Arabidopsis thaliana: one gene and its partner. The protein of the gene in region 1 interacts with the protein of each later gene in a pairwise test. Each region holds a gene or a part of one and is shown on either strand. Other genes may lie near its edges.

Region 1 (4,539 bases):
CCATAGATCATCCAATAACAGCACAAATTTCTTTACGTTGAGGATGTTGCATATGTAAGAGGCTTTCTCCTTTTCTGTAACTTGTTTCCATCCCCTGTGAAGACCTAGTCTTCCTAAAATCTGTTCTTGAATGCCTTCATTTTGCAAATCTTTAGAAACCACAACCCATATAACAAGATCAAATCCATTCATCCCTTCAAGGAATTTGTTGTTAATAGAAGCTAAGAGCGTGGTTTTACCTACTCCCCCCATACCATAAAGACCCAAAGTTCTTCGTTCATCTTTCATGAGGCTGTTCCATGCCCTTCCGACCATTGCATCCAACCCAACTGTGGTTTGGATATGCTTCTTCTCCACCTTAGGCGCAGGAATTTTCTCTGCCACCACTTCAAAAACTCCTTTAGCTAGAAGTCCTTCCACGTGTTTCAACTTTTTCAGTACATTTATTCCGTAATTGCGGCCAGATATGAAATTCTTAGAACAATATCCACAGAGACATAACCTTTCAGTTTGAATTGATTTAGCTTTCAGCAGATCATTGACTTGAGAACAAACATCTTTAACCCTTGAAAGCCAACCTTGAACTTGAGCAAGCCGTTGCAAACCTTTGTCTTCTTCTATGACAACTCTTCTTAACAGATCATCTCTTCTCTCCTCGAGCTCTTGCATAGTATTCTGCAGAGCCTCGAGATTAGCCTCCATCTTGAGAATGTAATTCCGATCACCAAATAAGCAGCCACAAGCATGATTCAACGTTTGATCACAAGATATTTCTAGTGCTACACAGTTTCCCATCTTACTCAAACTTTCAAATATCAAGACGATGCAGGAAACAACACAAGATAAGGAGCACTGAATGGAGAAGAGGAAAAAGAGTACAATCGTGCCCTCCTGATATTGATTAGAAAATTTAAAAGTCAGACTGCAAGTTCTAATATCTTATTGAAAGTGGCAGCTTCAACGAAAAGTCAAGATGCGTGTTCAGATATCCACAAAATGACATTGACCATCAAACATTAAGAAACTATAAGATAAAGTTTTCTATCCACAAAATGATATTGACCATAAAAAAATATGAAGAGCACAACTATCTTTCAACTTTCAACTAATGTAACACTCTGCTACTGTAATTGTTGCCGTAATTACTCAATTCAAGCTCATCCCTTTCTTCCTCTTCTTCAGTATCATCTCCGATATGTTCGTCAATTGTCCCTCCGCCATAAAAAATCTCCTACTTTCACCAAAAAAAATAGACCTTATTTCTCTTTGGAAAAAGTTCGTAATTCATTAAAGAGCAAACACGAAGAACTAAAGCCATTAACAACTCGAAAAATTGCATAATTTTCCCGAGCACCAACAAGTGAAAACACGATGAAATAGTAATCCACAGATTGAGTTGAGATTGATCAAAAGCAATTCGAGGAATTTCTGAAGAAGCAAACAGAAGGAAACCGAACGAGATCGAAGCAGTGAAGCAAAAGCGTAGTCAAAGCGAAAGAGAATTAGTTACCGGCGGAAGAACAAATTTGAAAGCGACGACGGGCGGCAATCGCTTGAATTGATTGTGAGGGAGTGAGACTTGAGAGTGGAAGTATATCCGAATGGAGCAGTTTGATGAGAGAACCCGGTAAGCTTCTAGGACTCGAGCCATCGAGCCGGGTCTATTTTTACTGGAGAACGATGTCGTTTATGTTAAGGTTTACTATTATCCACGTATCGCTTGCAAGTTTGACTAAATGTGTAGGTCAACTTATATATAAACTTACTGTAGGGTGGAAAACACTGGATTATACCCGCCGAATCTCAGGTCATCGAATTAATTAATTTGTGATTACGCAAAACTGAAAAGCAATTTTCCGTTGAAGGGGTACGCAGAAATTCTGTCTGCGTCTCCGAACCAACTCTATCCTTCTCTCAATCCGATCCGTTCCGTTCACTACTTGTCTCAATTTCGAACCAATTGGATCGCATCTTTTAGGGGCTCAAACCTTTGGTGACGAGGACGAGGAAGAAGATTGTCGCATCTGATTTATATCGGAAAAAGGTCTCTTGCCGGAAAGGACACGATCCGCTTTCATAAAGGAGAGATTTTGACAGATTCAGTAGACGCCATGGATGTGCCTAGCTCTTGGGATGCTTTACGGAAACAGGTATTTTTCTTTTTATAAAATTATTGTGTCGTTTGATTCGAAGCTACTAGGTAATTGTGTTGGGGAAGCTGGTAGTGTCTGAAAATCTGTCTTGAATTTCGAATATTTGAGGTCTGAATTGATATCAATCTTCTGGGTTCGATTCGAATTGGGGAATTTATTGGTTTTGTTGGCTAATTCTCAATGATTTATCTTTTTACTGGATCCAATTGATATTTGAATAAGCTTTGTGTTGTATTGAATCCCACAGGCTAGAAAGATTGAAGCTCAGCTTGACGAGCAGATGCATTCATATCGTAGACTTGTTTCCACAAAGGCTTTATCAAAATCAGATGGTAATGAGAGTGATCTTGAAGCTGGGATTGACTTACTTCTTAGGCAACTGCAACAAGTTAATGCTCAGATGCAAGCATGGGTATCTTCTGGTGGGTCAGAAATGGTCTCCCATACTTTAACTCGACATCAAGAGATCCTTCAAGATCTGACACAGGTACTGTTCCTTTCCTGACTCATACCATTTGAATATTTGCCTTATTCTATAGCTTGTGTTGATTATATACTGATTAGTAATGAAATGAGTGTTATCTTTTTAACCATCTGTTCACACTCTGCTCTTGGACTAGTTTATGACTCAACCTTCGTTGTAAATCAGTCTTGTTCCTGTATGTATGACTCATTCAAAATGCAGGAGTTTTATCGACACCGCTCCAGTCTTAGAGCAAAACAAGAGCATGCTTCACTTCTTGAGGACTTTAGAGAATTTGATCGGACTAGATTAGATTTAGAAGATGGATATGGGTCTGAACAAGCCCTGATCAAGGAACATATGGGAATCAACCGCAATACAGCTCAGGTATATAAACTCTCCTTTGCGATTAACCTTTGTTAGACTCTACAGCTGTAGCGTACAATAGGCCTGGCTTTCTCAAGTTAATCGAACACGTCATGACTTATGTGAGCTGACTATTATATAAACGGTGCAGATGGACGGTGTCATTTCACAAGCTCAGGCAACACTCGGTACGCTTGTGTTTCAACGTTCAACTTTTGGAGGCATCAACTCAAAGCTTAGCAATGTCGCCAGCCGTCTACCTACGGTACGAAGAGCTTTCCTAGTCTTATTTACACACTCTTTTGCTCGTTGCTTTCTTTATGTTCGGTTATGGCCTGTGTTTATCCTATATCTCACCCTGCAATTGGATGGTTAAAACCACTGCAGGTGAACACTATTCTGGCAGCGATAAAGAGGAAAAAGTCGATGGATACAATCATTCTTTCACTCGTTGCGGCTGTATGCACATTTCTCATATTCATTTACTGGATAACCAAGTAGAATTTGCCCATTTCTTTCGTTTCATCTTTATGTTGGGCCACGTCTGGTTTTCCCATGATGTCAATTTGTTCTGCAATTATCGGTGTTCTAGTAAAGAATCTAAAGATCAAAAACATAAATATTGTGTACAGAAAATTTCATCCCTGTCTTTGCAGTCTAGACGAGCTTGTTAAATGTTGAGTTATTTTGGAGATGCCACACATACAGTACAACCATCTGTTTCTCTCATCTTGTAACTTTTTATTTGTGGGAGTATGTTGCTGCATTGAAAAGGGTACATGGCGCCTACATGCAATACGGCTTTAATATAATCATTATCATATATATGCTCGCAACTAATCCATATTAGATTTAAATGTCACATTACCTCTGGAAACTAAGAACCATGCCAATAAAAGTCCATCTAAGCCATATAATCATATATCCAAGGGAACATTCATTGGCTGCTTAAGAATGTGGTCGGCAGAAGATTTTATTTTTGCTCAACATAAGATTTAACAGTCTCCATCCATCTAATATACTCAGCTTTATCTTTGTTCTTCATGTACTGATGCAAGAACTCAGCAAGATCATCACTTATACCTCTTTCCTCCAAAAATCGATAAACCGAGTCTTGAAGTTCATCTTCCATTTCCCTGTAAAATTGAACAAAAGACAGTTTAGTTCCATCGTATCAGAAACAAAAAGAAAATGTTTATGTTTAAAAAAGAAGTGATCAAATCACAGTACTGGAATTCAGGTCCAATATAGGCATTTGGTGAGTTCTGGCTGCTTTTACGAACAAAGAACTTGGTGATCTGTATGGTATCAGGCCAAGCAGAACACATGATCTCTAAGGTCTCACCATCACCCTTAGAGATGTTGACAATGAAAGTAATATGAAGCTGAACATCTTCAGGGTCGCTGGTAGTAGATTTTGATGATGGAACTGATCCATCAAACATGGTTGCTTCAATCTTAATATCTTCCTTCTCCCCAAATTTTCTTCTCAAGCTAATCCACTGCTCCCCCGGACGCTCATCCACCGTGAATGGACCAAAACTCTCTTCAGGCTGA
Region 2 (5,228 bases), on another chromosome or scaffold:
AGCAAAAGATAAGCTTTTAGATTTTGAATTACATGTGGAAAACAAATCTCCAGGGTTTATAGATCAAATAGATGAAGTGTGTTTGTTTTGAGCTCTGAGTTAAAAAATTTTGACGTTTTTGTGGTTATGTAAAAGCTAAAAGCCAATAGTTAAAGATTGACTCTAAATTTGTGTTTCTGATGCTAAGCTTACTAATATGAATTGCAGAAAGATAGTTGTGTTTATGCACTGGAATGGTTACATTGCTTACTTCTTGTGGTTTGATGTTGTTTTCTTCGAAAGGACTCTCTATCACTGAACCATTATGGTAAAAATGTTTCATTATAAAAGTTCTTATGATTTTATCATCTTTGTAGTGTTATAACTTGCATGTTTTTTTTGGTTAAGTAAGTGGAGCAACTGCTGGTTAGTCTTTTTTGGGTTAAGTAAGTGGAGTATTCTCATATAAGAAGAAGATGCATAGAGTATCACATCACAGTTTCTGTGTATTCGGCGAGCTTCATGTTTGTTTGTTTGCTACCTGTGATATGAGTTATTCCATGTTAAATGTAATGCTTTCCTTTGGAAGACAACTCTTGTTTTCTTTCTCGCCCTTTCATGTGTGATTTTGAGATTGAGCCATTAAAATGTTCAAGCACCTTGATTGTTTGTTACCTTTCGCGCCTCTAGACAATCACTAAATCGATTTACCCTTGGTTCTGTATCTGCTTTAGGCCCTCTGAAGTCGTTCAATCCAACACAGAGCACACAGAAGAGGATGTGACAGACCAGATGGTGGGAAGATCCGCTCTTCCGAATCAGTTTGAGGATAAAAACCCGCTAAACTTCCCGGGACTCCGCAGAGATGTAGACGCCATCGAACGCCATTTCTTGAGCGGAATGAAGAGTTTCTTTGATGCGGCTGAAGAGATGACAAGCAGCTTATTTGATATCATGGGAGACCATCACCCAAGCACCAGGAGAGGAGGGATACCCATTGAAAACCATCCCAAGGTAGAGGAGCACCGCAATGACGAAACTGCCCCTACACGACCACACTCCTCTGGCGAGATTGATCTCTCGGGCTTGGCCAAGGACGTTTGAGAAAGGTCGTCTGCTTCTTCTTCTTCTTCTTTTTTTTTTTCACAAAGGTCGTCTTGTTCTAGCTTTTGGCATATATAATCTTAAAAATGTAATGTGACTTTCTAAGAAGCGTGGGGATTGTAGTCTAATGTTAGCGGCTTGCACGTTTTTCCGAGTGGGTGCTACTACTATCTATCAATATCATCATACTACTATATTACTATGTGTTATGCTTGTGTCTTTTATTATCACTTTGTCTTAAAAGTTATTTTACATTTTTAAACATGTTACCTTATACAATTCGTACCTTTCATTAAATGGTAATAAAATAATAATGGTCAAAGTAGAGTGATATGCTTGAGTGGAATTAAAGATTTGAAATCTAACCTTACGTTTTTTGAAAGATTGGTTACCATTTTGTGGCATGGAGTAATTTAGAAAATAACAAGAAATATACTTTTTTGGTCTTCAATTGAGTTTGAAGATTTTTCTTAACAATTAATTAATTACGGAGTTTAAAGGGACCAAATTGTTAATCAATGTATTCACACAGACACTAAATAATCTCTAACACAACCTCACAGAGTCATATGTTAGAGGAGAGAATCAAACAAGTTTATTTAATTGAGAAAGGCCAAAAACCCTAATAAATCCCCCCAAAAAATTCAGTCACGACGTGAGACCCAATTCCTTTTCGTCAAATCATCTTCCTTCTCAATTCCCATTTTCTTATTCTTCGTTTTTCATTTTGTGCATTGTGTGTGTTTCTTACCAAAGGAGATGATTCGTAGCATTTTGTGAGAATTGATTAAATTATTCAGCCGACCTCGAGATCTTTCTCCCTTAGATCAGAATTCATTTGTGGGAGATTTATCTGTCTTTCTTCATGGAAGTGGTTATGTTGTTAGATAGGAGAGATCTTTGTCTCTATGAGATCATGTTAAGGGTTTTTTCTCTTGCGTGAAAAGGAAGGAAAAAAAGGAAGAAAAGGGACTTTTCCTCTCTATCTTTTTACGATTCTCTGTATACGTTTCTCGTGTAGATTATTGTATAGCATATAGTTGATTGGGAGATTTAGATTGTAGAAATGGGGAATGTATGTGTTCATATGGTCAACAATTGTGTGGATACGAAATCGAATTCATGGGTTCGTCCCACAGATCTCATCATGGATCATCCCTTGAAGCCACAACTCCAGGACAAGCCTCCTCAGCCAATGCTAATGAACAAGGATGATGATAAAACCAAGCTTAATGACACTCATGGTGACCCTAAATTACTTGAGGGGAAAGAGAAACCTGCGCAGAAGCAAACGAGTCAGGGACAAGGAGGAAGGAAGTGCAGTGACGAAGAGTATAAGAAGCGAGCGATTGCGTGTGCTAACAGTAAAAGAAAGGCTCACAATGTGAGGAGACTGATGAGTGCAGGGCTACAAGCAGAGTCAGTGTTGAAGACCAAAACAGGGCATTTGAAGGAATATTATAACTTGGGTAGCAAGTTAGGTCATGGACAGTTTGGGACTACGTTTGTGTGTGTTGAGAAAGGAACAGGGGAGGAATATGCATGCAAGTCGATTCCGAAGAGGAAGCTAGAGAACGAAGAAGACGTGGAGGATGTGAGAAGAGAGATTGAGATAATGAAACATCTCTTGGGGCAACCAAATGTGATCTCCATCAAAGGAGCTTATGAGGACTCAGTGGCTGTTCACATGGTGATGGAGCTGTGTAGAGGAGGTGAGCTGTTTGATAGGATAGTGGAGAGAGGGCATTACTCTGAGAGAAAAGCTGCTCATTTGGCTAAAGTCATACTTGGTGTGGTTCAGACTTGTCATTCTTTAGGTGTGATGCACAGAGATCTTAAACCTGAGAACTTTCTCTTTGTCAACGATGACGAGGATTCGCCTCTTAAGGCTATTGATTTCGGGTTATCTATGTTTCTCAAGCCTGGTATGTTTCTTACAAAACAGAGTTTTTTTTTTACTCTCACATTAGATAGATGTTATCCTGAGATATGTGTATTGTTGTTTAAAGGAGAAAACTTTACGGATGTGGTTGGAAGTCCCTACTACATTGCGCCTGAAGTTCTGAACAAGAATTACGGTCCAGAAGCAGATATATGGAGCGCAGGTGTGATGATTTACGTGTTACTGTCTGGTTCAGCTCCGTTTTGGGGAGGTAAGATTGTTACTTTGAACACAAACTATATATGTTTTTGGAGGTGTTATAATGTGTGTTTGTTGTATCAAGCAGAAACGGAAGAAGAAATCTTCAATGAGGTTCTGGAGGGTGAGCTTGATTTGACATCAGATCCTTGGCCACAAGTCTCTGAAAGCGCAAAAGATTTGATCAGAAAGATGCTTGAAAGAAATCCCATACAAAGACTCACTGCTCAACAAGTATTATGTAAGTCCCTAGAATCATGAAACTCCATAGTTTAGGCAGTTATAAAACTTAAATCATTTTATTTTCAGGCCATCCATGGATTAGGGATGAAGGAAATGCACCAGATACACCACTTGACACAACTGTGTTGAGTCGCTTGAAGAAGTTTTCAGCAACAGACAAGCTTAAGAAGATGGCTTTAAGGGTACCACATACAATAAAACCTTTTTGATTTGTTTTAGATGATTTTGATGAGAGAATATCTGATTATTAGTGTTGGACTTGCAGGTGATTGCAGAAAGGCTTTCCGAAGAAGAGATTCACGAGCTCAGAGAAACATTCAAGACTATAGACAGTGGAAAGAGCGGGCGAGTAACTTATAAAGAACTCAAAAACGGTCTTGAAAGATTTAACACAAATCTTGACAACTCTGACATCAATAGTCTTATGCAAATACCAGTAAGTAGACACTAGTACTGTCTTAATATATATGGATTTAGTAATTAGTTTGATTCATAGTTTTTCTTACATACTGGGATCATTTTTAGACGGATGTGCACTTGGAAGACACAGTAGACTACAACGAATTCATAGAGGCGATTGTAAGACTGAGACAAATACAAGAAGAGGAAGCAAATGATCGTTTAGAATCATCAACAAAAGTGTAATGAAGTTGGCGTGAAAGATATTGTTGTTGTCTGAAGAAGTGTAATGAGTACTCAAAACTGATGATGACGAATGTAAGTAAATGTGATGCATTCACTCACTTTAGTCTCTTAGAGCTGTTGTTATAAAAGTCTCCTAATCAAAGATCTAGTGTATTTCAACATTTCAAAAAACATAATCTATATATAATCTTTATCTTGTTACACTTTAGACTGTAGGAAACTACAAAAAGAGCCACAACAAATGACTATAAGAGAGGAGGCAGAACAAGGAGAAGATGGACACAAAGAGACCTCAAGAAAGTAAGTTGATGGATAAGTTGATAGATGGAAAGTCAAATGATTTTGATGTGTAGGTTTTTTTTTGTTTTGTTTATCATGTTCTTATAAAAGTTAGAGCAAAAAAAAAAATGAAAGATGTGTTTTGTTGTATATAGAAGTTGTAGTAGAAAGGATAAGGAGACACAATAAAACTTAGGTGATGTTGATGCTCTCAATACTTTGCCTTTGTGTATTGACCTTGAGGGTTATATTAGGAATAAGAAGAGTGATTATGTAACCCCCAAACAAACTTAATTTAGAAATAGTAGCCATTATCTTAAGCATGTTATCTCAAAACAACCATATAGTAAAATGTTTGGACGAATCCTGAATGATTGCAACGTGCATGAAAACATTGGAAAGCATAAAAATCTTGGAAAGAAGGGTCCAAAAAGATCTGACGGTGGAGAATTCAGACACAAGCCTACGTGGACGGAACAGTCATTTCTGGTCGAGACAGCTCACGCGCGGCTGGCGGCGAAAACATGGGACCCAAACGTGAAAACCAATCATGTGGAACGGTCTCGACACGTCAGCAATAACGGACGAAGTAATGGGGTCCACACGCGGCGGGTATGTCGTGGGGCTTATGGTTCGCTGTAACGGAGACCCTCTCCTCTCTCTCTTCTTCTCTCCCACGTTCTCCAAACACTTCTTCCTCAATCATTTGCTTTCTATTTACCATTATACCCCTTTATCACTCACTCTTTTGACCACATTATTGACCCTTTTTTTGTTGATTGCAACATAAATTTAGCAACCTAAACATTGGGAGTTTAGACTTTTAAGTATCTTGAGT

Evidence for each region.
Region 2: the proteins of GOS11 (region 1) and CPK25 interact in a protein complementation assay, tested with the Arabidopsis thaliana proteins (one large-scale study listed by BioGRID).

Annotation. Positions count from the first base shown.
Region 1 is NC_003070.9:5,457,662-5,462,200, reverse strand, and holds GOS11 (golgi snare 11), read left to right. Parts: upstream 1-1,841; 5' UTR 1,842-2,111; coding exon 2,112-2,150; intron 2,151-2,400; coding exon 2,401-2,640; intron 2,641-2,838; coding exon 2,839-3,003; intron 3,004-3,133; coding exon 3,134-3,247; intron 3,248-3,369; coding exon 3,370-3,483; 3' UTR 3,484-3,803; downstream 3,804-4,539. Other genes in the region: AT1G15890 (Disease resistance protein (CC-NBS-LRR class) family), read right to left, coding at 1-795; AT1G15885 (uncharacterized protein), read right to left, coding at 1,106-1,231, 1,511-1,651; AT1G15870 (Mitochondrial glycoprotein family protein), read right to left, coding at 3,956-4,118, 4,213-4,535. UniProt on the Arabidopsis thaliana protein: Involved in transport from the ER to the Golgi apparatus as well as in intra-Golgi transport. It belongs to a super-family of proteins called t-SNAREs or soluble NSF (N-ethylmaleimide-sensitive factor) attachment protein receptor.
Region 2 is NC_003071.7:15,066,058-15,071,285, reverse strand, and holds CPK25 (calcium-dependent protein kinase 25), read left to right. Parts: upstream 1-1,926; 5' UTR 1,927-2,149; coding exon 2,150-3,008; intron 3,009-3,092; coding exon 3,093-3,236; intron 3,237-3,311; coding exon 3,312-3,464; intron 3,465-3,532; coding exon 3,533-3,648; intron 3,649-3,731; coding exon 3,732-3,902; intron 3,903-3,991; coding exon 3,992-4,111; 3' UTR 4,112-4,672; downstream 4,673-5,228. Other genes in the region: AT2G35900 (Mal d 1-associated protein), read left to right, coding at 714-1,083. UniProt on the Arabidopsis thaliana protein: May play a role in signal transduction pathways that involve calcium as a second messenger.